Linked DNA regions of Styela clava. The protein of the gene in region 1 purifies or fractionates together with the protein of each later gene. This does not show direct contact. Links are inferred from orthologs where the notes say so. Each region holds a gene or a part of one and is shown on either strand. Other genes may lie near its edges.

Evidence for each region.
Region 2: the proteins of isoleucine--tRNA ligase, cytoplasmic-like (region 1) and leucine--tRNA ligase, cytoplasmic-like purify together in Homo sapiens (affinity purification with mass spectrometry; 7 studies listed by BioGRID and IntAct, counting the BioPlex papers as one, with this or other methods). This does not show direct contact. The link is inferred for Styela clava from reciprocal best matches to the Homo sapiens genes IARS1 and LARS1.

Annotation. Positions count from the first base shown.
Region 1 is NC_135258.1:11,726,757-11,742,803, reverse strand, and holds the start of isoleucine--tRNA ligase, cytoplasmic-like, read left to right. Parts: upstream 1-8,828; 5' UTR 8,829-9,016; coding exon 9,017-9,135; intron 9,136-10,003; coding exon 10,004-10,160; intron 10,161-10,477; coding exon 10,478-10,597; intron 10,598-10,735; coding exon 10,736-10,927; intron 10,928-11,532; coding exon 11,533-11,682; intron 11,683-12,948; coding exon 12,949-13,104; intron 13,105-13,410; coding exon 13,411-13,506; intron 13,507-14,108; coding exon 14,109-14,231; intron 14,232-14,515; coding exon 14,516-14,706; intron 14,707-15,605; coding exon 15,606-15,806; intron 15,807-16,047. Other genes in the region: transcription initiation factor TFIID subunit 8-like, read left to right, coding at 3,568-3,706, 4,786-4,947, 6,226-6,356, 6,922-7,069, 7,554-7,651, 7,730-7,885. UniProt on the Homo sapiens protein: Catalyzes the specific attachment of an amino acid to its cognate tRNA in a 2 step reaction: the amino acid (AA) is first activated by ATP to form AA-AMP and then transferred to the acceptor end of the tRNA.
Region 2 is NC_135263.1:8,316,986-8,332,846, reverse strand, and holds the start of leucine--tRNA ligase, cytoplasmic-like, read left to right. Parts: upstream 1-9,974; 5' UTR 9,975-10,127; coding exon 10,128-10,133; intron 10,134-10,473; coding exon 10,474-10,607; intron 10,608-10,682; coding exon 10,683-10,851; intron 10,852-11,075; coding exon 11,076-11,184; intron 11,185-11,316; coding exon 11,317-11,507; intron 11,508-11,987; coding exon 11,988-12,122; intron 12,123-12,572; coding exon 12,573-12,682; intron 12,683-12,941; coding exon 12,942-13,053; intron 13,054-13,575; coding exon 13,576-13,734; intron 13,735-13,980; coding exon 13,981-14,154; intron 14,155-14,522; coding exon 14,523-14,672; intron 14,673-15,022; coding exon 15,023-15,177; intron 15,178-15,479; coding exon 15,480-15,628; intron 15,629-15,861. UniProt on the Homo sapiens protein: Aminoacyl-tRNA synthetase that catalyzes the specific attachment of leucine to its cognate tRNA (tRNA(Leu)).

The DNA.
Region 1 (16,047 bases):
CGCGATTCTCACTGTGCATGTTTACTTGCGGTTGCTTTTTTATCATAAGTATGTTTGTTCAAAGAATTCTTGCTATGATCCAACGAAACGTTGGAAAAACACATCTGACTTAAATTTGCCCCATGATTCTGAATCACATATAATTCAGTTCAGAATAATCATTGAAGATATAGATTGAGTTCAAAATTAATTTAAATCGTGGAAAAAACATTAAAATAGAGAAATATAAAAGCGATAATGCGTTACAAGATTTAACATATTTGTGAACTTCAGAGTATATTTTCAGAAGTGAGGCAGTATTTATTAGATTTTGATTATTCAATGTAAATTATTAAGGAAATGTAACTGGTAAACTGTTCATGGAAGTACCAGTTTATGTCTGAATACTTTTTTAAACTGAATAGGTCAAGCGCAAATCTTATAGAAAATTAAAAACAAACCATTTTCTGATTGCGGCAATGTTTATTTTAAAATCAAATCATTTTATATGTTGTTTTTGTGATTTTCCTGTATTTATCATAATGATATTTATCATCATATTGACGGTATGTAGCATTAAATGCATATTCATGTGTGGGTGATGTACACCGATAAAATATAGCCAGAAACACAAAACATGTGGCTTAAATTGTTCGAGTTGTTTCAATGGGGTAAAAGGCAATCTATAGAACTTTTATTAAACAAAGCCTGGACGACCTGAAGTATGCGCACCAAGATGGCGCACAACCTGAACTCAGGTTGTACACAAGGTTAGGGTTCAGGTTGTGCGACATCTTGGTGCACATACTTCACGAGTACCCAAAGCCTTATACAACTTTGATTGTTTATGCCTAAATGGCTATGAGTAACTATAAAACTTTTTCCAAAATTGCTCTTTTCCAGTTTCCATTTATCAATAAACATTTCCAATCGTTTTTTTTTTAAATATCGTCACGCTAATAACCGAATTGCGTAAGTCATATTTAGCAGTTTTGAGAAAAACATAAAAAACTTCCTAATGATATTGTTATGCCATTGAGAGTCAATAATTTGTCATGGTTCAATTTTTTGATTGTTGCCGGATTTGAGTTAATTTGTATGACGCAGTTAATTAACGCACTGTGACTTAGTCAGAAATGTGTCAATGACTTGGGGACATACGCAATTTTGCAACTTTACTATATGCACCAGTCCTGGAAACTAAACATTCCAAAATCGAATGTAATTCTCAGTATCTACAATGTCTAATCCCCAAAATAGCTAATCAGTTTCAATTACATTATTTTTTATGTTTAAAAATATATATTTTATCAATATAACACGCTTTGCACACCCACCGAAATAAGACTAAGATTAAATATAAAGAATAAAACAGCAATGCACCCAATATAAAAGCCAACCAAGGTGGATTGGACTCGGACAGTAAATATCACAAGTGCACGTCTTCCTATACTGTAGTATGAATTCAAATTAATACGCGCGCCGTATGCCTGACGACGGTGAAAAATGCATAAATGCGTGGCATGCGGAACTTAGTTTCACAGAAAATGTCTAAGAGAACCTCCTGAAGTAAACCACGAAGAAGATTCGAAATGGACTTGCGACGACTGCGAATCCACAGGGATACATTTCGAAGCTTTACGAAACATTTTCATGAAGTCGTCAAAAAATGAGCCAGAGGAAACGGATAAATAAGTTTCGATATATAAAGACTTCTCAATCGTTTTTATCAAATCTAGGGAGAAAAGGTTGGGAATAATAATACACGAAATGGTTCACGCAGCTGGGGTTTTGATGCATGAAGGTGGAAGTGAACATGGACCTAAATTTCAAAAAAGAACCCGCCGTATGGTCAAACAATTAAAATATCATCAGAAGAAACTCCTTCCAGAGCTGAGACATCTGAGCATAAACTTCAAAGATATAAGCAAATAATTAAAATATGTTATGACTATAAGTGATTAGAAAAAAATATTAATAAATGACAGTTCAAATCTCTTTCCTTTATGTTATGTGTGTGGTATAATTAAACATAATATCATTTTCCACTGCTGTTGTTTTTATTTTGCATAAAGATCGAGGTTAAGAACGATATAATTGCATTCAATTCAGGATGGAGGAAAGTTGAAATCATCATGTGAATTAATCGCACATATTTATGGGAACACTCATAACTTTTTTCTAAAATGCATAGCAGATGTATTAGTAACTTCTTATGCAAAGCCTTGTTGAATGGGATGTATGGAATACCCCATAAAATTGGGGCTACATATCACCGGTCCGAGTCCCAGCAAATTCGATTGCCAAGTCAAGTCGAATTCTATTTAAAAGTCGAGTTCGACTTTATAGATTCCATAAATAATGCTAAATCCTGACTGTGCGTAATGCGCTGCTGCTAATACGGCCTCACTGTGCCTAATGCGCTGCTCTTAATGCGACCACGTATTGTGTCCAATGCGCTGCTCCTAATACGTCTTCACTGTGCTCAATGCGCTGCTCTTAATGCGGCATCACTGTGCGCAATGCGCTGCTCCTAATGCCACCACGCATTGTGCCCAATGCGCTGCTCCTAATGCGATCTCGCATTGTGCCCAATGCGCTGCGCCTAATGCGGCTTCACTGTGCCCAATGCGCTGCTCCTAATACGATCTCGCATGTGCCCAATGCGCTGCGCCTATTGCGGCTTCACTGTGCCCAATGCGCTGCTCCTAATGCGGCCTCACTGTGCCCAATGCGCTGCTCCTAATGCGATGCTCGCAACGAGCAAATTACAGTAACGTATCATCAGCCGAGTTCCAGCAAATTCGAGTACCAATTCAAGTCGAATTACTGTTGCTACTTTTTAAAAGTCGTGTCTAGCTTGTCATTATAGATTCCATAAACAATGATAAAATGGATGGATGAATTGTCAATCCTGACTGTGCGCAATGCGCTGCTCCTAATGCCACCACGCATTGTGCCCAATGCGCTGCTCCTAATGCGATATCGCATTGTGCCCAATGCGCTGCGCCTAATGCGGCTTCACTGTGCCCAATGCGCTGCTCCTAATGCGGCCTCACTGTGCGTAATGCGCTGCTCCTAATGCGCTGCGCGCAATGAGACTTTTAGGCTACCACCACTAATGGTACCGGTACCGATGTACGGTACGGTAACACTGACACCATGCCCTTCACTTTCTCAAACGTCGCCATCCCTAATCTGCTCCACAATTCGACCGCATTTTGACATCCCCAATCTGCCACTACGCTTCGACCGCATTTTGCCATCCCTAATCTGCCACCACGCTTCGACCGCATTTTGCCATCCCTAATCTGCCACCATTCGACCGCATTTCGCCATCCCTAATCTGCCACGCTTCGACCGCATTTCGCCATCCCCAATTTGACTTTTCGTCCCTATTTCGCCATCCCTAATCTGCCACTTTTCGACCGTATTTCGCCATCCCTATTCTGCCATCCCCAATATGACTTTTATGCTACCACCACTATAGGACACATTCGCCACCAAAGATACAGCAGTTTTTTCACAGCTTCCGTGGGTAGCTTTTCTTCATTTGATGTTGCAGAAATTTCGTGTTCAGTTGTTAAAATGTCTCAAGAAGGAACTGATCCATCTGTGGCATATAGACAAGGCCTTACTGCAGCCATTGGTGCAGTGTGTGTGGAAAACGGCTGCGAGTTTGTTCGAAAGTCCGCACTGGAGACATTGACAGAAATTGCACAAAGCTGTAAGTGGATTTTTGTATGTCAATGATAGATAGATAGTTAATTCTGAAAACTCCATAATACACAAAAATGAAGAATTCTGGAAAGCGAGCAAAACCTTTAAAAAAGTTTAAAACAGCACATGCACAAAAAAATTACAAAAAAAAAAAACCTGCTATAGAGAGATTTGGGCCAGACATAAACAAACAAAAATACGCTAATGTATTGAACTTCGGGCTGTTATGTAAGTAAATGCCATAAATTAAATGTCTTGAAAGGTTGGAAATATAAAATTCAATCTTTAACAAACTTAGTACACTGATACAGCAATATATAGATATATGTTGTTAATTGAGGTAATGTTCTTCTTTCCCTATTTACCAGTGGTATTGCGATTAACTGAAGATATTTACATCAAATCTAAACCATGATAAATCGATAATATTATCATAACAATGCACGTAATATACATAACAAAATGGAGTTTTGTTGAATACTATGTTTTGATCTTTCTATAATTCCAAGTGCTTTTATTTATTTTGCAAGTGAACCATTTCCAGATTTCATCATATAATTGCAATGCTAACTATATTAGCTTGTTCTTTCTACAGTTTCACATGTTTTGACAATAACCTTTATTATTGAAATTTTTTTTAATCCTGCCTAATCGATAAGCCGTGGTCGTTTTTATATTTTTATGTCAAATAATGTTCAACTTGGCAACTTATTTCTATAGTTCAACATCATTAACGTTTTCAATGGCTAATAAATCTCTCGACTGAACAAGGTTTTTGAACATCTAAGTTAGTTATTTCACAAAGAGTGATATTAATATGGCATGGTGTAGTTAGTTTTATTAGTGAGATAGGTAAAAAGCAATACATGTTGTCAATATTTGAATAATTTTACATTAAGAAGTGAATTTTACATTAAAAAAGAGATTATTCTTGACCTGTCAGACCAATTTCTCCACACATTTGTAGGGATATTGAAACTCAGTGAAATGGAATTAATCATTGCATCTAAATCAGTGTTAATGATTAGTTATTACATCAATAGAATTTGTTCAATTGAAACTGAATATGTATTTTATTCACTGAAGATTTAACAGAGATAGCCAGAAGTACTCGCCAATACTGCGAAATAGGAGGACGAAGTCTTCCAACACTTCTTGATATTCAAACTGCATTGGCTGATGCAGGATTCAAATTCAATACACTGCCTGACTTTATAAGAAATAAGCGAAGAGTTTCCATTGGTGAAGGTCAGTTAGTTATTTTTCAACTTATTCAAAAATGTTCAAACTCTTTTTTCGGTTTCATACAAAAGGTTTATGATTGTGGAGTAGGTGAATTTGAGTGGGAGTGGTGATTCGTCTACGGCCCATTGAAATGGGCCGCGGCCCATCAAGTTGTGTAATGGGATGAAATAATAAAGACTAATAAATATGTAAATCCTACCCACTTCCCGAACTTATAATAGAACTATAATGTGAAAAATCTGAACAAAGTTTTGTCCTAATTTCCTAACCTGGTACACATACTTCAGGTGTATCCTTTTCTGTAGCTTAGTATTTTGCTTTATTTTTGGACACGTAGTGGACATAGCGATCATTTCAATATTATGTTGTTGTTGTTCTCACTGTTGTTCTTTGACACGTTTTGAAGAAATCGCTTTTCTCTTCGAATACTGGACCAATTGCTTTGAAATTTTTAGTGGTTGAAGATAAAATTTTTCTCCAGAAGGCTATTACTTTTTTTTCACTACGACGTCATTAAAATTATTCCCACTAGGTGGCGCTACGTGTCCATATATTTGAGCATAGCTATCTTGTTATGTAAAGGCTTATCGCAAGAAAAAGGTTTGATGGCATCCCGCGATTTTTTTTTGTTCGAATATTGACAATTTTGTAAGAATTGAAAATTTTGGTAGGACAATTGAATTTTTTCTGATGGGCCGCCACGGACCATGTGGCCCAATTAGATGGGCCGTGGCCCCGGCCCATGGGCCTTAAAGGAGTCACCACCCCTGTAGGTGAATTTGGTATGTCTTTGTTATTCATTTGCTTCTGACTTTTTATATTTCAACACTTATATGATTTGTATATTTGAATTTTTCATATGAATATATCTCTCAAAGCAAGGTAACTAATTATGACCCAAAAATGAATAAATTGCTGAAAGAAATATGTAAATTTATTGGAAGAAAGGAAAAATTGTGCAACACAGAATTATGGTTTGGACCAGTCATATTGAAAATTCTTTTTGAAAAAAAAATTACCCAGTTAATTTGTTAATTTAAGTAGCAGAGTGTTCGAATTTCAAAATGTCTTTCTTTCTAAACATCGTTCACATAACATAACAAATTGCTGAAATTTATTTGCTAACCATTGCGGGATTAACGATATAGAAAGTGTACAATTAATCATTCAATTATCGATCACTACATTTTTAGGTTATTGAATAGACTACTTCATCACCTGAATGAAGTATTAAAGTCTGAAGTCTCACAAAGTATTAAAGTCTTATTTATATGTTTATAGTTTCCAAGACAACATCTTCACAAAATCCAAATGTTCTTCTTGTTGGTGAACGAAGAAACTTTCCAACACATATTCCGGAAAATTCTACTTATCCTAAATTTCCAGATCCTCATACTTATGTTAGGACATTGGTAAGAATACTTTTTTGTAATGATATTGCTAAACACCAAGGCGTGTGCACATTTGAGTAGAGAATCAATCTTTGAGATAATCATTGATTTAAACAACCTGCGATTTGCTAATTGAAATTCTCAAACTTTATAGCAAGTACAAGAAGATTATTCAAAATTAGCCCTCAGAAATTTTCCAAATTTTTTTGGATTTAGTTAGCTATTCTTGGCTATCTGGATTACAAATTTTGTTGATAAAAGTTAGATTTTCTGACTATTGTAATTATATCATAATGATATGGATGATATTGGTATTATTGTTCATCTTGTAAACCATAAGTACAGAGCATTTCAAAATACATAATACTGAATATAAAATATATGCTACTATTTTGTGTAGGTTTAAAGATTTATTGGAAGTTACTAATTTATTGTTTGTAGAAGTTGGTGACTCAATATGCCGAAATGTCGTTTTAGTTTTTTGAATTTGTTCTGTGAATGCATGATTAAAGGGTGTTATTGTCATGACATCTAGTTATCTGAATTTTCTGTTTTCTGGTTATAGTTTACCTTTCTGTTTGTATAGACAGGACAAGAACCTGAAAATAATTATGGTCTATTGCGAGAAAGGGGTTCATCACAGAGATGGGATGTTGAAAGAGCTCTTACAAGATTCATTGCAAAGACTGGTTCAAGTCATGCACTACTTCCTGATGACAAATCTGCTTTTCCATGTAATTTTACTCCCTTTAATCACCTCAGTAGATTTTGTTTTCTTAGAAAATCAGTCCTGATTTCCTGAGAATAATCATTAAAATGTGTAATGATGTCATGAACTATGGTTTCTCACCTGGGAGCATTATAAGGATATGTTTTACTTTAACATTTCATTTGGATAGATTAAGCTGTGATCTACTTGCTACATGAAGAACCTTTATGTTTTCAAAGTGACAACAATAATCTCTAATGTCTAATATTATCATCCACCTACAGATTTAAACCAGAGTCCCCATACGTTCCAACCATCGTGAACATAATTATTATTGCATGAATTTTGAATGTGCATCATTAGCTATCATGAAGTGGATGTCTATGTAAATTGGATTAATGGTTTTTCCAGTCGAGAACTCACATGGACAAATAGTTATATACTTTTTCATTGAGTGACATAGCTGTACAACTTTGTTCGCCTTAACTGCTATTTTTTGTATTGAATAGTGATTGCTGCAGTTCCTCCTGCAATTCCGTACTTATCTGCTCTGCTGCCTTGTGAGAATGACTTGGCTGAGAAATTAGAAAAAGAAGCAGCTGCTGAGGTATAAAAACGATTTTAATCAAGTCATAAAAATATTATTTTTAATTTTGACCTATTCGTGGAATTTCAAATTTTGCAGAATAATGCAGGAAAACAAAATGTACGACAAAACAAATCATCTAGCCAGAAAAGGGTAGCTGATGATTCCAAGTCGAATGAGAGGACTCCTGATAATATTGATAATCCGTACCTACGGCCAGCAAAAACACCTAAATTGAAGAAGAGTAGAAGATGATACTACCTATTACTAATGGCAATTTTTCCTAAAGAGGAAGGAGATAAAATTCTGTCAATGAAGTATTGAGCCAAGAGGCTTTTGTGTGTAGACTCCAATTGTTCGATGCTGTTAAACGACAGCAATTCTTAAAACAATCCAAAAACTACAAAATGTTATAAGGATATTTTCTCACTTTATAGAGATATGCTCCATTGGTTTGATATAAAGTTGTGTGCCTGACAAATTATTCAAAATGTTTACGCTTAACCATTGTCGAGTACAAGCCCAAGTCAATTCACAGCAGAGTTGCAAGTCTAGCTAGAGATGGTAGATTTCATATGCAACATTTTAGTGAATAATAAAGCCAACAATGATCCTCACCGCTTCGCCACGTTCTTGTACAGAAAATTTATTAGATCCCAGTATCAGAAACATAAATTTTCAATCCGCATTTGATAGTGTTATAGCTGTACATGAGGTGGTCGGTGCCTGTTATTTGCATTTTTGATACAAGATATTCGTAAAATTTAATAAAGTTTTCATGAATTGCAAAGGTTGTTCTGTGATTATTAGGACAGCAGCTTTCGTTCAAAAGTATTGAGATCGGATTTTCATTCTTTGGGTCAGGGAGTCGTTTTTAAAAAGCTTAGCACGGTGACCGCAAGCCCGTGCTTGGTTTTGCAATCATTCGGGGCGGGAATAGCAAGTGAGTTAGGTAGATGTTCCAAACGGATGGATACAATATGCCGCTGGTAAACACATTCTGTGAGGGATGATTCTTGACATTACGCACAACCATACATATGCTTTATATTTGTACTTTTTAATTTTGGATTTTTTGTCTGTTTATGTAAAATTAAAATTTTAGTTGACTCAAAAATGATATCTTATTTTGAATAGCAATTCTATTAATCCGTTAGAGTCGTAGCAAAAGCTACAGGGCGGGCCGGTATGTGGCAACGGCCTTTTTCGTCCACGGCGTCACGTTTCATCATGCTAGGTGTGTTGGGGGCGTTTGTTCATCGTGTAGCAGTTTCGAATATCCAGTCTTCGTCGCAGTTGGCGTTTTACGGTTTTCTGTCTGCTGTTGTAAGATTGCTTGGTGTTCACTAAGCCGGCACTCGAGTGGGATTATTCGACGATCGGAAAATGGTTGAGGCGGTCCCCGAACATATTAATTTCCCAGCGGAGGAAGAGAAAATTCTAAAGTTTTGGAATGAACATGATTGTTTCCAAAATTCATTGAAACAATCTAAAGGAAAGCCGAGGTAAAACGCTTTTGTATTTTTTGTCACTTTGAAATTAGTACCCTACATGTGTGTGTTGGGTACTCTAGTGTAAATGTTCTATATTAAAGTGTAAGCACAAGTTTTCGTTACCGATAAACTGATATATATGGTAATGCTGTTATGTGACCTGAATTGTGGGATCTAAGGATTACCTTTTTTTTAAACATAAAAATTATACCGCAATTATTGATTACTGTAAATTTAATATTAAAACATTTTTAGTGTGATTTTCAGAACATGTTTTAATATGATTTTTTTAGGACTAGTGAAGTAAAAGCCGTGGCTGCTTAAATAACGCCTAACAAAAATGTGATTCAAAATATACGTCGTAACTACTCCAAATAAGGCCAAACAAAAAAATGAGATTTTATGTGATGTCAAAATTTTAATTTAATTAAAAAAAAGTCTTATGATGCAGGAAGAAATTCTTACCAAACCTACTCAATTTCAACTAGTCAGGTATGTCTCATGCCGTTTAAGATATTGTGGTTGCACAAGAGGGACTCTTATTTATAAAAAAAACGGGATTTGTGTTATATTTCCACATCACATTTTTGTTTGGTGTTAATTAAGCTCATACAGCATTCAAATTCACACCACATTTGTGTTTGGTTTTATTTAAACCGTTACAGCGTTTACTTGGCGAGACCCGATTTTTTTCATTCTAAATAGGAGATACCGTACATTAGAACCTCATCAAAGGTGTTGTTTAACTCTAAAGAACCATAGTATACTATTCAATCAAGTGTAAAACAGCAAAGTTGGTACTCTTTGCCTATTCATCTTTGAATGGTTTCTAGTGACGAAACAATGGTTCAAAAATTGATCATAATGCTTGTCTTTGTAGATATGCTTTCTATGATGGACCTCCATTTGCTACGGGACTTCCTCATTATGGTCATATTCTTGCTGGTACCATAAAGGACATTGTGACGAGATATGCTCACCATAGCGGGTTTCATGTTGATCGAAGATTTGGATGGGATTGTCATGGTCTTCCTGTGGTAGGTTTTATGTAACTTCTACAATCTCAGTTAACATCGACATTCTATTTTACTTGTAATCGCTAACAATAGCATGTTCATTTCTGAACATTATTGGTTTTGCTTTCTTGAATGGTAAATGATGGCACCCCAGTCTGGTTGTGGGGAGTTTTAGGGCTTTCTGTACTTCGATTAATTGTTTGGTATTTTTAAAATTCAAAAAAATTATAAATTTCCAAGAAAAAATATGCTTTTTTGAAAACATTCGGTTTGAATTAAAGTCCTTGGACATGGCTAGTTGTTTTCAATTTTTATTCGAATGTGACTTTTTTGTTCAGGAATACGAGATTGACAAGACTCTCGGTATTAAAGGACCAGAAGATGTTGCAAAAATGGGAATCGCGGAATACAATAAACAATGTCGATCTATTGTCATGAGATATTCTGCTGATTGGGAGGTAATTGGGTTTTTTATTAATAGAATTACAGTATTGTTGAAAATGAAAGTGCTAGCAGCATATTAGATGAATGTAGTGGCAATATCAGTATGTTATTCCAAATTTTTTATCATTATCAGTTTTTCATTTTCAATTTAGAACATCGTGAATCGTTTGGGACGCTGGATTGATTTTAAGAACGATTACAAGACTTTATATCCATGGTTTATGGAAAGTGTTTGGTGGGTTTTCAAACAACTTTACGACAAAGGTTTTGTTTACAAAGGCTTCAAAGTAATGCCATATTCAACGGGTTGTCATACTCCACTATCAAATTTCGAAGCCAGTCAGGTATGTGAATATTTCCTTGTCATTTATAAGTTCATTTTTGTACATTGACATTTTGTGGCTAAATACGTACGTATACGTATTGTATACATATACGTATACAATACGTATATGCAATACAATCACGTTTACGTTGTGATTCACAAATCACTCAATAAAAACCATATACGAAGTATACGAACATGATATTTTATAGTTTGATATTAGTTTTCATGACATTCGTAGTGATTGCACCATTATTGATCATTCTTTCAGAAGTGAAAAATGATTTCATCATTTTATAATTTATCTTGTTAAGCAATGCAATTTTGTTGTAAAATTAGAGCATAAAGTAAATACTTTATATTTTTAGAATGTGTGTCACATATTTACTCTGACAAATGTTTTCATTTAAACCACTACAATACTACAACTACAATAAACGAGTCTGAATGTAGAGATCTCAAATACTGAATTTATTAGGACTACCCTAATTTAAAAGGCTTGGCATCAAGTTTTCCCACCTTGTGCTAAAGTATAGCTGTATCATTAATAAACCTATAGTATTACAAATTTACAATTACTATAATATAGCATAGAATAATATGTTTTAAATTTATATTCTACAGAATTACAAGGACACTATTGATCCAGCTGTCATTATCAATTTTCCTCTTGATGAAGATCCAAAAGTGAAAATGATTGCGTGGACAACAACTCCATGGACTTTGCCGAGCAATCTCGCTCTCTGTGTTCATCCAGATATGGATTACGTTAAGGTATGTTCAGGGTGACCCCCGAAAACCCTGTACCCTGAAGTTTATGTATTGCTTCTATGAAAATTAAGGAAATTTATTCAATACTTCTATTTGTGTATGATTGCACTCAAAAATTTCAGTTAGTTGAAGAGCTTTGCACGAAAGTTATGTTTTCTTTTGAACATGTTCCAAATGACCCAAGTTTTTGTCAATTTTAGGGGTCGTGTTGTATCGCTATCAATTTTGATTTTCTTATTCCAGTCAAAGACTAATATTCTTTATCTTTAGTTTCGGTCAAAACAATGTTTTTACTAGCGAAAGAGGAACATAGTTTCTTCGAAATGAAAATGTCAAACCACCAATCGTCTTGTTCCTCTTTTGCTGATATTCAATGGTTTTGTGGGTTTTTAAACTATTTCAATACCTGTCTACGTGACTAAATAAGTACATAAAGATGCGTCCTCATTTTGAATGATGCAACACTAAAGCATACAAGGAATGTTTTATGGTTAAAATTCCCCTCTACTGAAAATATACTTTCTCAAATTGACCGCAGATAAGAGATTTATCAAGCCCAAATATATTTGAACAGACTTTATCCCAATGTTGTAGAGCATTATTAACTAGATGGAACATGGGACATTGGTATCTATATTTTCTAAATAAATCCAATACTTGAATAGAAAACATGAAACCCTTCATGTCTGATCTTCATTATAAGATTTTTAATTCACTTTAGTGAAGTCTGTTTTCCGACTTCAGCTTTCCACAGGTTATTGTGATTTGTGCCTCAAGGCTGATGTAATGCAATATATCTAATGCAAAAAGGTCGACGGGGCTTGGCACATCATGCTAGACATTAGAAAAACATTTGCCATCGCTCCTCTATTTACCTTGAGTGGGTTCGCCGGTTTGAATCCTGCGGGGATTATTATATGCGAGAGACAACTATATAATATTTCTCTCATCGCAGAGTGGTTGCTCCACCTTTTACCATACCGGAGGAGGATTGGTAACCAATAGCCCATGGTATGCTATCTTGTCAAATGAAAAAATTTTTTTACCAATTTTACTGCATCTAATTTGCTGTTTGTATGGGCATGCTAAGATTAGGGGTAAAATAACCCTATACAAGTTTGGATAGAAATAAGATTTTATCATTTAGCGCATTAGGTGGAAATTACATAATATAGCTTAATCGAGTTCTAGGGCGCAGTCTATTTAACTATCGAGGAAATTTGTTATTTGCCCAAATTTTTCATCAATAATTTATTTGAATTTCTTCAGGTCCGAGATACAAAAACAGAAGAGATTTACATCCTTATGAAAAATCGTCTTATTTCATTGTATAAAGAAGAAACTGAATATGAAATTCTTGATACTTTCAAAGGGAAAACTCTTTTTGGTAAAGGATATCAACCTCTCTTTCCATATTTTGCTCAAGTGAGTTGAAGCTCCGAATATAAGATAATTTTGTACGTTTTTAATGATTGTTTCCTCAGAATATGCATAGCACAAGTCAAGAAGTTACAATTTTCTTACTAACCTTATGTCTTACAGTGTACTCAGTAGTGATAGCAAGTCGGTCTTAGACATTTAACTTAATGAGGCAATCGTAATCATTTTCTGTTATTGGGTTAATGTCATTGAGTTTCATCAGATTTTTTTTACAAATAATTCTTCATAGTCTGAACTTGATTTTCGATTTTTATGTATTACATCTGTATTCTTGTATATTATTATGTACAGATGAAAAGCACAGGAGCATTCCGTATCATGTGTGATACATATGTAACTGATGATAGTGGTACAGGAGTCGTTCATCAAGCTCCTTTCTTTGGAGCGGTAAGTTTACAAGTCATTTTACAATCTTGTCTATGTCTTTTAGAAACACATTCTAGAGAACTTACTTTCTTTCTCGTGCCATCAAAATGTTATCAAATTTTATTATTTTTTGAAGGAATATGACCATTCCGCCGAGGAGATAGATTCGAAAAATTATATTATTTGAATCTATCTCCTTGACGGAATGGTCATCACTGACCAACCATGACACTCTTCACTAATCGTCGACTTGACCTCAGTTCTTCGCCATCATGCTCATATGAATCTTTTTCAGCCTGAGTTTTAAAGAAATTTGAGCCTGATATGATCAAAAAAGCTTCGTTCTTCATTTCATACTTTCTCATTTCCTAAAAGCCGTTATGCTTATTGTCATTCGGTATATTTAAACAATACTGTTGTTCCTATCTTGTAATTGCTATAAACTACTTATCTGAGGAATTCTGACTTTCCTCAGATAAGATGTTACAGAATAAAATTTGTGAAATTCCCAATCACCAAGTATCTATCTGGCTAGATCTGAGTGGTTTGAAATAGTCCAGCTAGAATAGATGCTAACCTCTCTTTTAATGGTGTATTAATTCTCAAATTTACCAACAATTTAGGATGATTATCGCATCTGTACAAGCAATGGAATAGTGGCAAAGGATGGACTTCCAGTTTGTCCTGTGGATGCTAGTGGAAAGTTTACTGATGAAGTGAAGGATTTTGCTGGAGTATATGTGAAGGTTATATGATTTCCTCTTGAATATTGATTCGTTATTGTTGACAAGGTTTACCGAGTGATAGGCCATTTTATTATTGCGCCTTCCATTATAGCAGACGAGGTTGTGAGTCATTGTTTTCATTGAATATCGTTCACTAAGTTACAGAAATTGATACCAAAATTGTATATAAATCATGGAATATCTTATCTAAGATCAAATGTCTTATCTAAGATTAGATAAGGTAATCAGTTTGGCTTGTGATAAAGGTTAAAAAACAAAAATTGAAATATCAATACCAATTCCAGGATGCTGATAAACTTATCTGCCGTCATCTGAAAGGAACAAACAGACTTGTTCACCAAAGCACAACAAAACATAACTATCCTTTCTGTTGGAGATCTGAAACTCCTCTTCTTTACAAAGCTGTACCAAGCTGGTTCATTAGAGTGGAAAATATTACAAAGCAATTATTGGAGAACAATGCTAAGACATATTGGTAAGTCATAGTTTTATAACCTGTTCAGCAAGCTAAACATTAGAAATACGCTCGCCATCACAACTCTGATTACACTGCTTGAGTTTGCAGGTTCAAATCCTATTGGGGATATCTATGTGCAAAACATTGCTTTGCACATCCTTGCTGTTTTAGGGTTGGTCATGTAACTGCTAGTTAAATATTGATAGCTTCAATCTGGAAACAAACAATCATCCAACTGAAACCATATTCGACATGGAGCGATAACCAGACATAGGCCGTGGTGGTTAATCCATCTTTCAGCTTTTCCCTCCCTTGGGATAAATATGAAAATATTATCATGAATTGCCAATGAAATGTGATGCAAAGTGAAGTTTTTTTTATTTTGTGAGTATTATTGAAATATTTATTGGTTATCTTGGTTAGCTCGAAGAAAAAAGGTGCCAGACGACATACTCTTATGACAAGTTATCAGTTTTTCTAGTTACAAGACTAGGTGGAAGTAGCTAATTGTTGTGGATGCATTGACCGAATGGTGGAAGAAAAAATTATGCGAACCATGGTCATTTTATGAGGTGTTTTCATACCTTCTCTTCGAAGGCCAGTGACTACGTAATTAGATACTGATTTTGATGGATTGGAGCCTTTCAGTCCATTGCTAACCTGCAACATAGGCATCGTACAACATAATTATCTACCATTTTTGATGAATTGAAATCTTTCCAGTCGATTCCATTGCTAATCCAATTACAACACGGGTAGCGAAGTCAGCTTCTGAGATTGAACCAGAAATTTTTGACCTGTGACACCAACATAGCTTAGGCCGACCACTCTCACTACTCAGAAATGCGATACATAAGAAAAATAATATGTCACTTTCAGCTATTTAATTTCACATTATAATTTTCTCTCCATTTCAGGGTTCCTAATTTTGTCAAAGAAAAACGTTTTGCAAACTGGCTTCGGGATGCTCATGACTGGGCCGTTTCTCGTAATAGATATTGGGGTACTCCAATACCATTGTGGGTCAGCGAGGATTTCGAAGAAATCGTTTGCATCGGGTCCATAGAGGAATTGGAACAATTATCTGGGGTCAAAGTCACTGATCTTCATAGAGAAAGGTATTTTAGAGTAATGATGTTTTTATTTTGTCGTATGTCAACGAGTCGTGAGTTGAACATAATTAATTAATATGGCAAGGCATTCTTAATGCTTCTATTGGACAGGGATTGCATATTTTATGCAACAGAAAAATCAGTATTCTCAGAAGAATCACCTCTTTTAATAGGTGGTTTCAGAAGCCATTGCAGGCGAATCTCCGATTTTGAATTTGAAACTTCGGTTCTGAAATGGCTATGCCCC
Region 2 (15,861 bases), on another chromosome or scaffold:
CACTATTTTAATAAAGTCTCTTCGTTTGCATCGTGAACTTCGAACCTATTTCTTCTGAACTAATTATTACAGTATTACTAGACTGTATCAGTGGCGAGCACCTACCGGTATTCCGGTTAAGTCGTACCGTTGCAAATTGACGAGCTAGCGCCAGAATTGAAAAATCAGACGATTTTTTGATTAAAAGTTCATGATGTCACACCGATGAAAGAATTGCGACCAGGAACGAGATGTAATATGGAATAAAATTTCCCAGATGGAAACCGAAAACAAAGAAATTAAAAACATGAATAAAGACATACTAGGCGAAAACAAAGAAATTAAAAACATGAATAGAGAAATACAAATGGTGAATAAAGAAATTGAAGATAAGAATAAAGTACTAGAAGCTGAAAATAAAGAACTGACTAGACAACTGCAAATAGTCTATGCTAGTGTTGCAAAACTTGAAGAAAGAGATGTTGGCATGAAGGAAGTACTCGAACGGGTGTTGTGCCGTCTGGAGAGCATTGACGAGGCTATGGGTGAGGTGCCATCATTCATTCCTAAACCTATTTTAAAAACCCCTGAGGTGCCTAAGAGTGTTGATAGGAATGGTGAACCAGACTGCCCTGATAATGAATGTTTGATGAATGGTAACGGTACTATTAAAAAATTGAATTTTGCTGATGAGTGTGTGGTTGACCAGTCTACACCTATGCATGCAAGTGTGAATGGTAACGTTACTGATTGCAAGGTAGTTCCTTTTGGTATGAATAATAGTATGAGAATGGATATACAGCCTGATACTTTTAATGGTGATGGTATGTCTTTGGATGATTATTTGTGTCATTTTTCATCCATTACTACCTGTAATGGATGGACTGATAAAATTGCTGGTGTACATTTTGCTGCAAGTATGCGTGGGAAGGCTTTGTCCTTGTTGAATGAATTATCCCTTCCAGATAGACACAGTTTGAGTGTTGCAGTGAATCACTTGAAAAAACGTTATTATCCAGAGGGTAAGGAGTCATACTTTGCTACTCTGTTTAATAACAGGAAGAAGTTGGCTACTGAGACGCCAACGGAATATGCTACTTCTCTTCGTGTATTGTCGAGGAAAGCTTATCCTTCTTTGGATGGTATTGCTCGTGAGAATCTGATTAAGCAGCGTTTCATTTCAGGTTTTCCTGATTTCGAGATGTGTAAGACTTTGACAATCAGGCAGACTCAGAGTTTGGATGAATTAATTACTGTGGCTGATGTATGTCATTCTATTGATGCTACGCACAGTGCACCTGGTTGTAATCGTGCTAGTAAGCCCATGGTAGCTGTTGTGAATAAATCTGAGCGTGATGATGGTGTGTGTGAATCTGAATTTAGTAAGCTGACGAATGGTTTTAAGTGACGAAGCAAAACCTTTCGCATTACATGTCTCTAGAACGATTCCGTATGCATGGCGAGATGAAGTGCATCAGCAACTGCAAAGAATGGTCGAATCAAAAATAATATCACCAGTGACGGAACCATCTGAGTGGTGCCATCCAATGGTTATTGTGCCAAAGTCACAAGGTGGTGTACGTGTTTGTGTGGACCTAACAAAGCTTGATAAATTTGTTACTCGGCCATCATATCCACTACAGACCCCGAGAGATGAAATATCTGGATTGTCGGGTGAGTCCATATATTTCTCTACAATGGACGCCAAGCACGGGTATTGGCAAATCCCGTTAGACTCAGGTAGTCAGCATCTGACAACTTTTATAACCCCATGGGGTAGATATAAATTTTTACGAGCTCCCATGGGCTTGTCATCCACGGGTGACAAGTACTGTCGTCGAGGAGATGAGACACTTCATGGAATTCATAACATGCAAAAAGTGGTCGATGACGTACTCATGTATTCCAAAACTTTCCCAGAACAAGTCCGTGCCATTCGGGAATTTTTATATAAATGTCACTACAACAACATCCCTTTAAACCCTGAAAAATTTGTATTCGCAGCAAGCACGGTAAAATTCGTGAGGTTTATCATTTCAAGTGATAGTATTTCAGCTGACCCCAAGAAAGTTCACGCTATTTCAGAATTTCCGACTCCCACTAATATCACTGAAATGCGTAGTTTTATGGGTCTAGTGAACCAACTAGGAGATTTCACAGCGGAACTTAGCACCTTTGCCGCCCCTTTACGTAGCCTGTTACGAACACGCAACAGTTTTAATTGGACTGCTATCCTGACCGTCCCGCAGTCTTACAAACTGATGCATCACGCAAGAAGGGATTGGGCTATGCTCTACTTCAACAACATGGAGAAAAATGGCGACTCGTACAATGCGGTTCAAGATTTTTAAGCGACGTCGAAACACGGTATGCAATGGTTGAATTAGAATTATTAGCTGATGTCTGGGCCGTTCACAAATGTCGAATTTTACTACTCGGATTACCTCATGTCACATCGATAGTAGACCACCAACCGCTAGTCCCAATTCTTGATCACCAGACGTTGGACATGGTCGAAAATCCTCGCCTCCAGCGTCTCAAGGAAAAACTCTCAATATATGTGTTTTCTACAGTTTGGCGCAAGGGAAAACTGCATGCGATTCCAGATGCGCTTTCGCGTGCCCCAGTTGATGACTCGACGAAAGATGACTTAGAGGCTTAGGAAGATGTGAAAACCTGCGTAAAGAAAATCTGGCAAATTGGTTCACTTGAAGTCGTAGATGAGGGTGATGATTGTGTTTTTTCTGATCCAAATTTAACATGTCTTTGCGAAGTTGCTGAAAAAGATCAGGAGTACCAAAAGTTGATCAGAGTGGTCATCGAAGGGTTCCCGTCGAAATGTGAACAAGCACCGTTTTTTGCACAACCCTTTTGGAAAATACAAAATGATTTGAGTGTGGACGACGGCTTAATATTATATAATGCCAGAATTGTAGTTCCCCGAGGGTCAAGAAAGGAAACTCTACTTCGACTTCATGACGCGCATCAGGGCATTGTTCATATGAAAAGACGTGCAAGACAAATAATTTATTGGCCCGGAATGAGTGTTGATATAGAAAACGTTGTCCAATCGTGTGATAAGTGCCAAGAAATGTCCCCAAGTTTGCCGAAGTAGTCAATGATATCGGATCCTATGCCTGAGCGTATATTTCAGGAGGTTGCCGCTGATCTATTTTCCTAAGCTGGGAAAAGCTATTTGGTTTACACAGATAGGCTCTCCGGATGGCCTATTTCAACATCGTAGGATTTGAAGCCCTTCTTCAGGCATGTAATTCACTCGATCAGGAAACATTTTGCGTCTACGGGTGTACCAGTCCGGATGAGAACAGATGGTGGTCCGCAATTTTCTTCAGGTGACTTCAAAAAATTTCTTCACAGATGGGGCGTCAATCACGTAATGTCAACGCCCACATATCCACAATCTAATGGAGTGGCCGAGGCAGCTGTTAAAGCAATGAAGTCACTCGTAGCTAAAACGACATCTAATGGAAATATACATGATGAGGAGTTTCAGCGAGGACTTTTAGAATGGCGCAACACACCAAGGGTAGACGACCGCTCGCCAGCACAAATTGTGTTTGGACACCCATTACGTTCCTGTGTTCCAGCACATCAAAAGTCTTTGCTAGGAAATGGCAGACACTTGCAGAAGAATGTGACCGGAAGGCCGCAAAGGCGCGGCTGTATAGCAAAAGATATTACGACGAACGTTCCAAACCACTTCCTCCTCTGAAAATTAGTTCCAGCGTTCGAATCCAGGAGCTCACAACAAAAAAAATGAACTAGAGTGGGAACAATTATGGGAATCGGAAGAAATAGAGATTATCTTGTGAAGTTGCAGAGTGGCCGAATATGATGGAGGAATAGGCGTTTCAATAAATTGAACATGACTGAAACACACGAACCATAACAACAACAAATGGGTCAGACTGACTTACCCGTTCCTGATACGCCTAAGAGGAGCGCGAGAGAAAGACGCCGACCGGGAGGATTGCAGGTGCAATAACTAAATCATATGGCGAACCACAGTCTCTCGTACGGTTACCATTTTAAGTTGGGATTAGTTAGCCAGGTATTTGTTTTCAGAAGCATGGACTTGGATGATGGTCGTAACCGATCAGCGGTCGTGTGAAATATCCTCAGTGGGAGTAGAGCTGCAATCCTCTCGCACATAACTATCCCCGCATGAGATTGGAACCTGTGAAATTACCAGGGTGATCAGAGATGCGGTGGCGAGCGTATTCCTAGATGGCGAATTCAATTGAATTCTGGTTTATTTTTTGCATGACCACTGGTGTTAAACTTTAGTTATCTATTCAACCTTTCACACTTAGTAATAGATTACCTGCTAACTAGGGAAACAATACTTTTGAAAACAGTGGAATATAAATGAAGATCCATTTCGTTGTCTATACCAGGGCTTTCCAAACTTTTGAGCTCGCGACCCCTTTTTAATATATTAAAATTTTTCGCGGCCCTTGTTCACGTTAATAATGTTAAACAGTTCGAAATATGCATTTTTGCTATTTTATTGACACAGCTACCGTAGTTCTCAACTTTTAGTAGGCCTGCTCAATAACAAAAACAAGACATATTTACGCAGATAAACGTTACTAAATTATTCAGTGTAATGGGTGCGAATGCTTTTTGCTGCATAGCAAATCCAGCCGGCATGGTTCCTATCCGGAATTGTTACTCACTCTTGTTGATCAAAATCAAAATGTGCGACGCCAAATTATCAGGGAAAAAACTCGCGGCGCACCTACACGAAAAATATGCAGCATCAATATAAAACACAATTTTGTCATCATTAATGTGTACTTTATGTTTTGAGGTTTATAATCATGTAGGCCAAATAAATAAAGGCAAAAGGTTTAACTTTTATTTCTTATGTTCGATATTCTCGGATCAGCAAACGAATAAACTACAGCCTACGAAATTGCAGCATGTAGGGTTTTTATCTCTTCTCTCACGTAACAATAGACATTACGTAACAGAAAGTGAACAACATAGAACGGTAAATTGAATTCGATTTATATACAGATCATTTGCAATGATGGGAAATAATAAAACATTCAGAATAAACAAAATATGTAAAATATTCAATCATGTATTAGTTAATATTTAACACAAATATCCTGATTATCGAGGCGCACTTAGCGAATCGCCCTCGGGAACCGCTAGCTTAACGAATAAAGCCGGCATCGTTATGGAAGCACGCGCAAATCGGGTCTTACGATCAGAATATTCATTGTTATGCCAGCGCGATGATTCAACCGTGTTTCCCCGAAAATAAGATCAAGCCTGAATTTTAAAAATGATTAAAAAAAATATAAGTATTTTATAAGTAAAAGGAAATCGGTATTCACATTTGATATATTAAAAATCGTGTTATTCTCTACATACCCGACAAATAAGCCTTAGTGGTATTTTCGAAAGAAAATTGAAGGCACTGTCTTATTTTTTGGGAAACACGATATGATGATGTATGTATTCACTCATAATCGTGAAATTTTTGTTTTACACCATTTTTAATAATTGTATTTCAAATCAATAGTCTGAAAAAGTACAACAAATATAGTACTTTGTGTGAAATTGGTGTTCTCTTTGCCGCCCCCAAAATTCGTTTCGCGGCCCCTAGTTTGGGAAGCCCTGGTCTATACTATACGTACAGCCAACGGAACAATACGAAATAACCATTTTCAACATCCAAACAAAACGGAAACGTATAATCCGACTTGCAACTGACAGTAGCCAAATGGACGTTTTTTTTTGCCGTCCAGTAAACAAAGTCACGTGACCCGTGCAAGTTCTCTATGGGAAGAATATTCCAGGGGTCAAAGGTCGGGGAAAGGTCCATCAAAAATTGGTTCGTTCCTGAATAGCTGCGATCATACGCTAACATTGTCTGTCGGTACTTTTGAATAGCAGGTGGTTTTATATATTTCAAATAAAGTGATGGTTTTAAACATGTAAATTAGTATACAGTAGAGTCAGCCAATCTGAACACTAGGGTTTGTTTATCCGGATAGCGGTTAACCGGATAACCAAGAGTTTTTTTGCTATCTGATATACGGATATTATTGTAACGGTTAACCGGATAATAGTGAAGTATAAATAATGCATATGCGCATTAGTGATTTTTATATTTTTTTGTTGAGTGGCGACTGACTGCAAGCTTCCGTCGAGCCCCATCGTACTGAACAGTTGAAATTAGGAGCCCAATCCTAACTTTATGGAGGGGGAGCTAATTTCATGCAAGGCAATAGAAAATGAACATTGTGGTGTAACCAATAAGACCAATACCCCGCGTGGATATAGGCATCGTTTTATCAATAGTTTCGGCGTCAGGGAAAGCGGTGTTTTTTATATATAAGTTACGCGGGTGGAAAGGCGAAAAACTGATAAAAAGGAAGAAAGTGATAAAAATAACTGTGATAAAAAGATCCAATCCAAAAAATTATAGTATGCCTCAAAACGTTAGAAGTTCAGGTAATTCGTTTCTCAAACTTCAAACTGGATTGAAGTTCGGATAAAAGTGTATGCCGCATTTTTTATTTTATAGGTATAGGATATGACGCGGCGCCATATTGCAAAGTTCTGCAATGAAGTATTCTTTGTCGCAAATTTATCACCTGTTTAAATGCAAACAAAAGCTTTCTTTTATGTACATCCAATGCTAATCTTCGATTTCTTCGTGAAACGAATTAAATTTCATTAGTACCGCAGATTGTGAGTAGGGGTCACGCAAAATCTTAAGTTCAGAAGTACTTGGTTTGTCATAACATCCCAAGTTATTCCGAAGCCATAAGCAGAAAGCATTTAAAAGCTCTATCATAGATAAGTACTCACACCCAAGCGTACGACATCTGTGACGATATGAGCTTTTAATAAAGTGTACTGGAATCCGAATCTAAGGTGGTAGAGCACCGACAAATCCACTAAACCTATATCTGCGCGAAGCTATACTCACAGCTATTTGTTGAACGTTTATGTCTGAATATCTGCGATGAACTATAGTAAAGTGTGCATCATAATTAGTATGCTAGGTAACATAAAAGTCCCATAATATGCAACTGTTTCAGAAGTCATTTGTTGAACCCCTGGAACAGCTCCACCGAACCACAGGATTCGATCGACCCCAGCTTAAATACCATTGCTGTAGACCAGGGGTCCCCAAACTTTTTTGACCGCGAGCCGGGTATGACTCAAACTGGGTTGAAACGGGCCGGATGAATAATTTTGTCAATGCAATAAAATAAATTTACAAAAGTTGGGAAATCCATTCAATTTATTTAACAATACAGTATAAATTCTACATTTCTGAAGACTTGAATAATAAATTCTATTTATATCGCAGAATATAAATCAAGAACATCCTAGGAAAACAAATATACAAGATTTCTATATCTAGAGTTTAGAACTATCCTGAGTTTAGCTGTTATCAAAACGTTGCTGTCATGAATTAGGAATGTTACAAAATCGGCTATTTCGCGCCAAAATAATGTACGCTTCACGTCTGCTAAGTGCTGTTACGCCGTGTTGGGATACTGCTACTGCTAAAAACGACTACGGACTGCCTGCTGTAGCTTGGAATTCCATGAAATTTTGACATAATTTAGATAAAATAAACAACATATCTGGTATTTGATTTTTTTCATTAGCGCATAAATTTCTCAGCATTCCACGCTTTTAAAAATTCCTTCCCCCTTAATACGTAGTGCAAATTAAACTATCATGCACAACTCCAGCGTTTATTTGCGACGATCTTTCGGCGGTGTCAATGACCGTTGCCAGAATAAAATCCTAAAATAGTCTCAATACTGTATTAGTGATTGACATGTGTTCTTTTTTCATATTTATTACAGTTCTTATCAAAAAAGTAATACAATCCTTGCCTTACAATAATTGCCCTGTCGGGCCGTACTAAAATTCCGATATCTCCGTTATTTCTTGGCCGCTTTTTATAAACTCCAATTAAAGAGTCCAGCTGCACACTAACACAAATGTATTTCTGTAACGTTTCGTCTGACCAGAGTCAGACTTTCTAAAGCGGCTTGTCTGAGGAAGTCTGACTCTTATTACTACTTTTAAAACTACAACTCCTAAGGATGCAAATGATAGTTGACTTATTTGATTCATACTTGAATTTCCGAAACACAACCAAAAACTAACGAATAGCATTCAAAGTCGCAAAAACGAAGTATTGTTTACAACCACGACTGGAAATCTGTCAGGAAGACAGAAGTTATCTGAGCTGATGCGAAAAGGCCTATTATTACGTCACGTTTTTTTGCATCTTGCTGATTAGTCAATGTTACGAAATAAACAAGGAAGACGATGCTCGGGGAAATCTCCCATGGAAAAATATTTAGCCATTTTTGCGTGTTATTGCGGGCCGGATAAAATGGGCCGTAGTTTGGTGACCCCTGCTCTAGAGTCTAGACACAAAGAGAAACTTCCAAAAAATTTAACAATAAAGTAAGGAATAATATAAATCTTTACATATGATTTGAATAAGAGAAAATAATTTACCAGTCGGGGGAAAACGATTACAAAGCTTAAATTTTTATTTATTGACACACGCAACATCAAAATGCATAATCCTTTTTGGTTCGAGCAAAATAATACACATGTACGCATTTACAATAGAACTGTGTGGTGGTTTTCGGTCAATTCACCGCAAAAATCTTGTGAAATGGGTTCTCCACAATTTTCAGTAACTATCCGGTTAACCGGATAATTAAAATACGAAATACCCGGATATATCCGTTATCTGGATATTAAAAATTATAGGTATCCGAACTAACCCTACTGAACACTCCTCTCCACCGGGATAATTATGTAAATCCTATCGTCCTGGGGTCAAAGGTCGGAAACACACGATTGTCACACGCTTGGGCAGATGGGCACAGATCAAATATACCGGTAGTCACTTTGGCACAGATAGATATTATGGGTCTGGTATAGTTTAGTACCACATGCACTTCTAGTTGGCCTGGCTCAACAATTTCTGCATATGCCAATCCCAACCCCCACCTGACACGTCACCGAAAAATTACGTCATTTCGACGTCACATTGGCGTAATAAGGCCCGCCAAAGTATGCGGATGGTCGTCCAAAACGCGCAGATGATCACCCGAAATCGAGCAAGCTATTTCTCTCGTTTTCCCGTCATAACGATCACGATAGGAGAGAGATCGCCGGCGTCAGCGAGTTCGTAATCGGCGGCGCGGATGCCATTTCGGGCGATCGTAATTATACTTTGGCAAGCCCTATGACGTGTTTGTGACGCCGTATTGACGTAATTTTTAGATGGCATAGTCGGGTGGGGGTTAGGAATAACATATGCAAAATTCGTTTTGATACGCCAACTGGAAGTACTTGTGGTACTAAACTATACTAGACCCAAACAAACAATATAACTAATCCCATACCGGTACCGGACTTGGAATGGTAACTGGACGAGAGGCCGTGGTTCACCATATGAATAAGACGTCTTATCGCCTTTCCTCTCCCCCGGGATGAATATGTAAATCCTATCCTATCCTAACCAAAATGTGCTGGGTTACCGTACCAAACAAACACAAGGCAAAAGTATGATACCGTACCTAACATTAACACAAATGAGTTATTTTGGTCCACCAATAACAGAATAACTACCTTCAGACCTTACTGTAATTAATATTTAAATTAGGCAAAGTATCGCACTTCTGAAGCCAAATTTTTGCATTTGAAATTTCTTCAGTTCCTCCATTCTTTAATCAGACCAGTCTTTCAGTGTGCAGTGTATACTTCAACCGTACAAGTTCTTGTGGTCCACCTTACTGCCTTATGCTAGTAGTGGCTGAATAGGAGGATAAGTTTTTCATATTTCAGTAAATGTTTTGAAGACAGTACACTCATCCTGGGATACAGACAGCCCTTTTGCCCATACTATGTCTCTTCAGTAATTACCAGCTATTTTCATAACTGGTATCAGTGTTTATCCAATTTAATTTTAAAGCTTACCTATTTTCTATATATTAATATAGCTGCATTGTGTTGGTTGTATTCAACCAGTTATTTAATTCTTCCTTACTTACATCAAAGAAGAAAAGTTTTCCAAGTTGGGAGATTGCAGTTCAAAAGAAAATATTATTTCAAATATGTCGGTGAGCGACAGTTTTGGACTCTTCTCTTGTCTCTTATATGTGTTTATCATTTTATGAAGTGGGTATTCATAGCATGAACAATTATAGTTTCTAGAGGGGGAATTCCCTGTTTGTGGTTCCAGTGGAAATAAATAGTAATCTGATACCCCAATGTTTATTTCGCTTTATTAAATTATAGTGGTGACATGATGCCTTATGTTTTCAGATTGAAGTTAACCCAAGGATAAGTTACCTGAGTTTATATAGATCCGCTTACAATAAATTATGGTCTTGTAAGGACAAACTCATGAATGTAAAAAATAATGGATCAATTTAAAAAAAATTTTTTATGTTTGTCAAGAGTGACAATGTGGAAAGAAAAGGAACCTTCAAGCTCAAAGCCTTGAGAGAAATTGAGACTAGAGTCCAGAAGATATGGAATGAAGCAAAAGTTTTTGAGGAAAATGCACCTTCACCAGACTCATCTGAAAGAAGGTTTAATACATTGCCAATTCACATCATGCTTAATAAACTTTCATTTTAACATTTGAAATCTGTTTATATTTTCAGGACGCCGAAACATTTTGTGACCTTTCCGTATCCATACATGAATGGACGTTTGCACCTTGGTCACACATTTTCCCTCACTAAATGTGAGTTTGCTGTTGGATTCGAAAGAATGCTGGGGAAGAAATGTCTTTTTCCATTCGGACTACATTGCACAGGAATGCCAATCAAGGTTCATGATTTATTGCACTGTGGTCCTCATAATTCAAAATATACTTCACCACTTTTTTTTTATTAAATTTACCATTTTTTATGAAATTAAATACTTTCAAATTTTGTGTACCTAGATACTTTTTGATATCGTTATTTATGTCAAATTTCATTCGATTTTAATGTTGCTTAGAATTGAATTTCAAGTTATATCATTTGAAAGAAATTATCAATATTTATTTATAGGCTTGTGCAGATAAACTCAAAAGGGAGATGGAAATGTATGGTTATCCACCAAATTTTCCTGAATTTAATCAATCGTGTGAGAAAAGTGAGAAACAAACGGCTGAATCAAGTATGAACTATTTTACTATTTCTAGTATCTATTTCACCATTTATCTGTGTTATGTTTGCGTGTACAAAATAATAGAATTCAAAACTTTTAAAAGTTGCATGTAGTACAAAAATATTTGAACTTTACTAACAGTAATTAAAGACAAGGCTAAAGCCAAGAAAAGCAAAGCAGTAGCCAAGTCTGGCATAATGCAATATCAGTGGCAAATTATGGAATGTCTAGGATTGAAGGATGATGAAATCAAACATTTTTCTGATCCTGAACATTGGCTGAAGTATTTTCCACCTCTTGCTAAAAGTGATTTGCAGAGCATGGGTTTGAAGGTAATAACAATAGTTTTTTTCAGATAAACAATTATGAATTAATAAAGTGATGGCTGTGATTAGGGATAGCCAAATCCAAATAAACTACCAATATTACCAAATGCATTATAAAGTAATATTTTGAAATATGGAATATCTAATTTATTCTAAATTAGGTCATGTTCAAAAAATACCTAAACTAAGGTAAACAAATATTCGATTATTTTTTGTTTGGTATTGTGTTTTGAGTTTCATATCTTGTTCCACATATGTGGTAAAACAAAAATCGCCAAATCTACAGGAAATAATTTGAAATCGAACAATTCTGTTGGAATCTAAACTGACTCTTGCATTATAGACAATAGGCTTAAACTTGTGAGTTGTGAATTGTGATTCTTTTTCACCTTTGTTGAATGAAACGAATTTGTTCGATTTTGATCTTTTCAGATCAGTGTCTAGTATCAAGAGTTACATTATTATACTCTTATTATTTCAATTAAGGTCGACTGGAGAAGAACTTTTATTACAACAGATGCAAATCCATATTATGATTCGTTTGTACGATGGCAGTTTCTGACTATGAAAGATCGTGGAATGATTAAATTTGGTAAAAGATATACCATATTCTCACCTAAGGTATTCAAAACTTCTTTTCATTGTTGTATTATTAGGAAACAGTGTCTATTTATATGGGCTTATCTGTAAATGGAATTCATCTAAGAAAATGAGAGTTTATTGACACAAAAATAATTAATGCCAAAATTACCTTATTGACCTCTATCTGGGCATAGACGTCTTTTCTTTATGAGGTGATTTCATACTTAAGCGTCAAACTAAGTTTTGCACAAGCATACACTAATACCCATGGTGATACAATGTTTTTGACTTTTCCGCTTTAGCATAGACGATCCAATTTTATTTCACCCTTGGTGGGGTGTTACGGTAAGTATGAGTTTGGACCAGAGGTCTTTACTTTATTCTATTACTTAACACATTTTTTTAATGTTGCTATTGAGTATATAAAAAATATAATGGATGATACTTCCCCTTCATGATACTCTGAAGTTGATTGTTTGTGTTTACCAGGACAATCAACCATGCATGGACCATGATCGTCAATCAGGGGAAGGTGTTGGTTGTCAAGAATATACTCTTATCAAAATGAAAGTGCTAGAACCATATCCTGAGAAATTGAAGTAATTTTTCTTACTTGAATTGAGTTGTCTTCGAATCTTTATGAGCCTCAATATTGACCTCATGCCATCACTAACATTGTCAGACGTGATGTTGGTTGATTTCAACATTGATGAGGTTTTTGTTAGAAATCTTTTTGGTATCAACTTGGTAACTTAAGAAAGCTTGTGATAAATGGAGTACAGTACAGAATCACCCCATATTCTAATGGATGATAATCAATATGCTTATAATTAATGCTCCTCCATTCTCTTATTTCAGATTTTTGTCTGGTAAAGATATGTTTCTTGTTGCTGCTACACTTCGTCCCGAAACAATGTTTGGTCAAACTAATTGTTGGATTAGGCCAGATATGCCATATATTGCATATAAGGTGAGAAATTTATATTTATCATATTTAATTACTAAGTCTGATACCTGGTTGTATCAAACAAACCGATTCAATATCCAAACTGTTAGTTGTATTCTAGCAGCCTTTGCCTTTGAAAGTATTTTTGCCGAACAACATAATTAGTTGGATTCTGCAATTTAAAAGTTTTAGAAGGCGTTTTTTTGGCATTATATCAGGCCAATAATTAAAAGTCATAAGAAATATGTTGTATTCTCATTTGGTTCTCTGTGATGGATTTATGTAGATTGTTTGTATTTTTTACTGTTTTTTTTTTCTACTATTGCATCTTTTTTATTAAAGTTTAGTTGCCATTTTATTTTATTTCTGTATTTCTTCGAGGAATAGAAATATAGATCAGGATGTTTCTTCGAGATGGATATAGGTTGCCAATAAATGTTTCCAACATGTGGACCATGAATCGAAGTTGAGACCTCATTTTTGGGTTAGAGAAGTGTTAATCTCCATATCTGTTTTATGAATAGTTGTTCTGGTGTTCTATTTCAGGTGAAAAATGAGGAAATATTTGTGAGTACTCGTCGAGCAGCCAGAAATATGTCGTATCAAGAATTGATGACAGAGGTTGGAACAGTTGAAGTTGTTGCTCAACTCATCGGACAAGACATTATGGGAATGGCATTGCATGCTCCTTTAACATCATATGAGGTTAAATTTCCAATATTTCTGTACAATAAATTACGCTATGTAATGATTGTGAAGCACTGCTTGAGGTATGACAGCCGACACTGAATCTAAAATTGTTTAAATATTTTAGAATATTGTGCCTTATGACAACTTGCCCTACATTTATGAAATTTGAAAATCTATAATCTTAATAACAAGTTTTTATCAAATATAAAGGCAATAGTAAATTGCCTTATATCCTTCTAAATGTGGACAATCTGTTTCCAGGTGATTTACACTCTTCCTATGTTTACAATAAGAGAAGACAAAGGTACAGGTGTGGTGACAAGTGTTCCTTCTGATGCTCCTGATGATTTTGCAGCTCTGAGAGATTTGAAGAATAAAGCACCACTGAGAGAGAAATATGGAATTACAGATGAAATGGTGATGCCTTTTGAACCTGTGAGTATCAAAGTTTCATTTGGAAGTTGTGCATTTATGCAGAGCTGAACTGAAAGTAATTTTAGGACCACACAAGAGGCGCACCTCATAGAATTACTCTGCGATTTTCTGATATGGATATAGTAAAAACATATAGTTTTCAATGTCATTATTCTTGAGAAGCGTACTGATCTCAAGTTAATTCAATGACATTTAACATTCACATATTCTTGCTGGATTATTGGTTTTTATCAGGTTTGGCATAATTTTCCATCCACACTAATGGCTGCTGATATTTGGAGAAGGACTGTTTAGGCAATACTGGTGACGTTCCTTTTCAAATATGTCCTTTCAATAATACCTACGGTAACTGATTTTGAACTTTTCAGATTCCTATCATAGACATACCTGGATTCAGTAATCTTTCTGCTGTTCAAGTCTGTGAGCAGTTAAAGATTTTGAGTCAAAACGACAGAGACAAATTGGCTGAAGCAAAAGATATGGTTTATTTAAAAGGATTTTATGATGGAGTCATGCTGGTACGGTTGTGTGTTAGATTTAAAGTTGTGGGACATTTCAATTGAAAGATATAGAGAATTATATATATTTCCAATCCTGTTTGATTTTGAATGTCATTTTCGAAATTGTGTAAAAATGGAGAAATCACTATATTAACTATATCTTGAGATAGAGTTGTGAAAATCCATTCAATCAATTATAACTTATATATATTAAAAATTTTATATAATAATTTTTCTGGCATCTGATAATCAGGTTGAAATATTGTATATTTAATGAATTTCAGTCTAATGTAAAACTAGTACTAGATGACTGGTTGTAGTGTTTTGACTATGTTCTTAAAATAATTTTTTTCATTACATTCCTAAAGGTTGAAGGATATGAAGGACAGAAAGTTCAAAACGTAAAGAAACCTATACAACAAGCAATGGTTAAATCTGGTGAAGCACTTTTGTATATGGAACCAGAAAAAAAAGTGATGTCGAGATCTGCTGACGAATGTGTTGTTGCTTTGTGTGATCAATGGTAATTTAAAATTTAGATAAGTGCTTTAGTTAAGCCTCCATTAATTTGTCGTATAATATGCAATGAAACTACCTACCGTAGTTATTCCCATATATGACCTGGACTAGTATCTGAGCGAAAGGCTGTGGTGTTTTCACTGTGGGATAATTACCATAAATCCCATCTTGAATGGTCATTTCTTCTATGATCAACATGGTTAATATCCATAAAATGGCCTATTATACGTAAGGTGATCAGCACATTCCATAAAACTTGACTTTGCGTACACATATTAACTTGCCTGATTGAGTTTCTTTATTCAGGTATCTTGATTACGGAGAGAAAAACTGGAAATCATTAACTAAATCATCGTTGGAAAAGTTGAACACTTATTGTGATGAAACGAGAAAAAATTTCGATGCGACTATGGATTGGTTGAAAGAGCATGCTTGTTCTAGAACCTATGGATTAGGTATGTATGTGGATGCTTTTCAAAGCTGTATACTATTCAATTCAAAATTTACTGAAATGCGAAATACCAAATATGTCATTTAAAGACTCTAAAAAGACTATAAAAAATGAAAACAGGTATTTAATTTTTATAATACAAATCACCATGCATTGGGAAATCTACCTCCATCGACATCAATTTAGGGCTGGAAAGAGTTTCATGGTATTCACCCTGTGTACACAAATGATATTAAT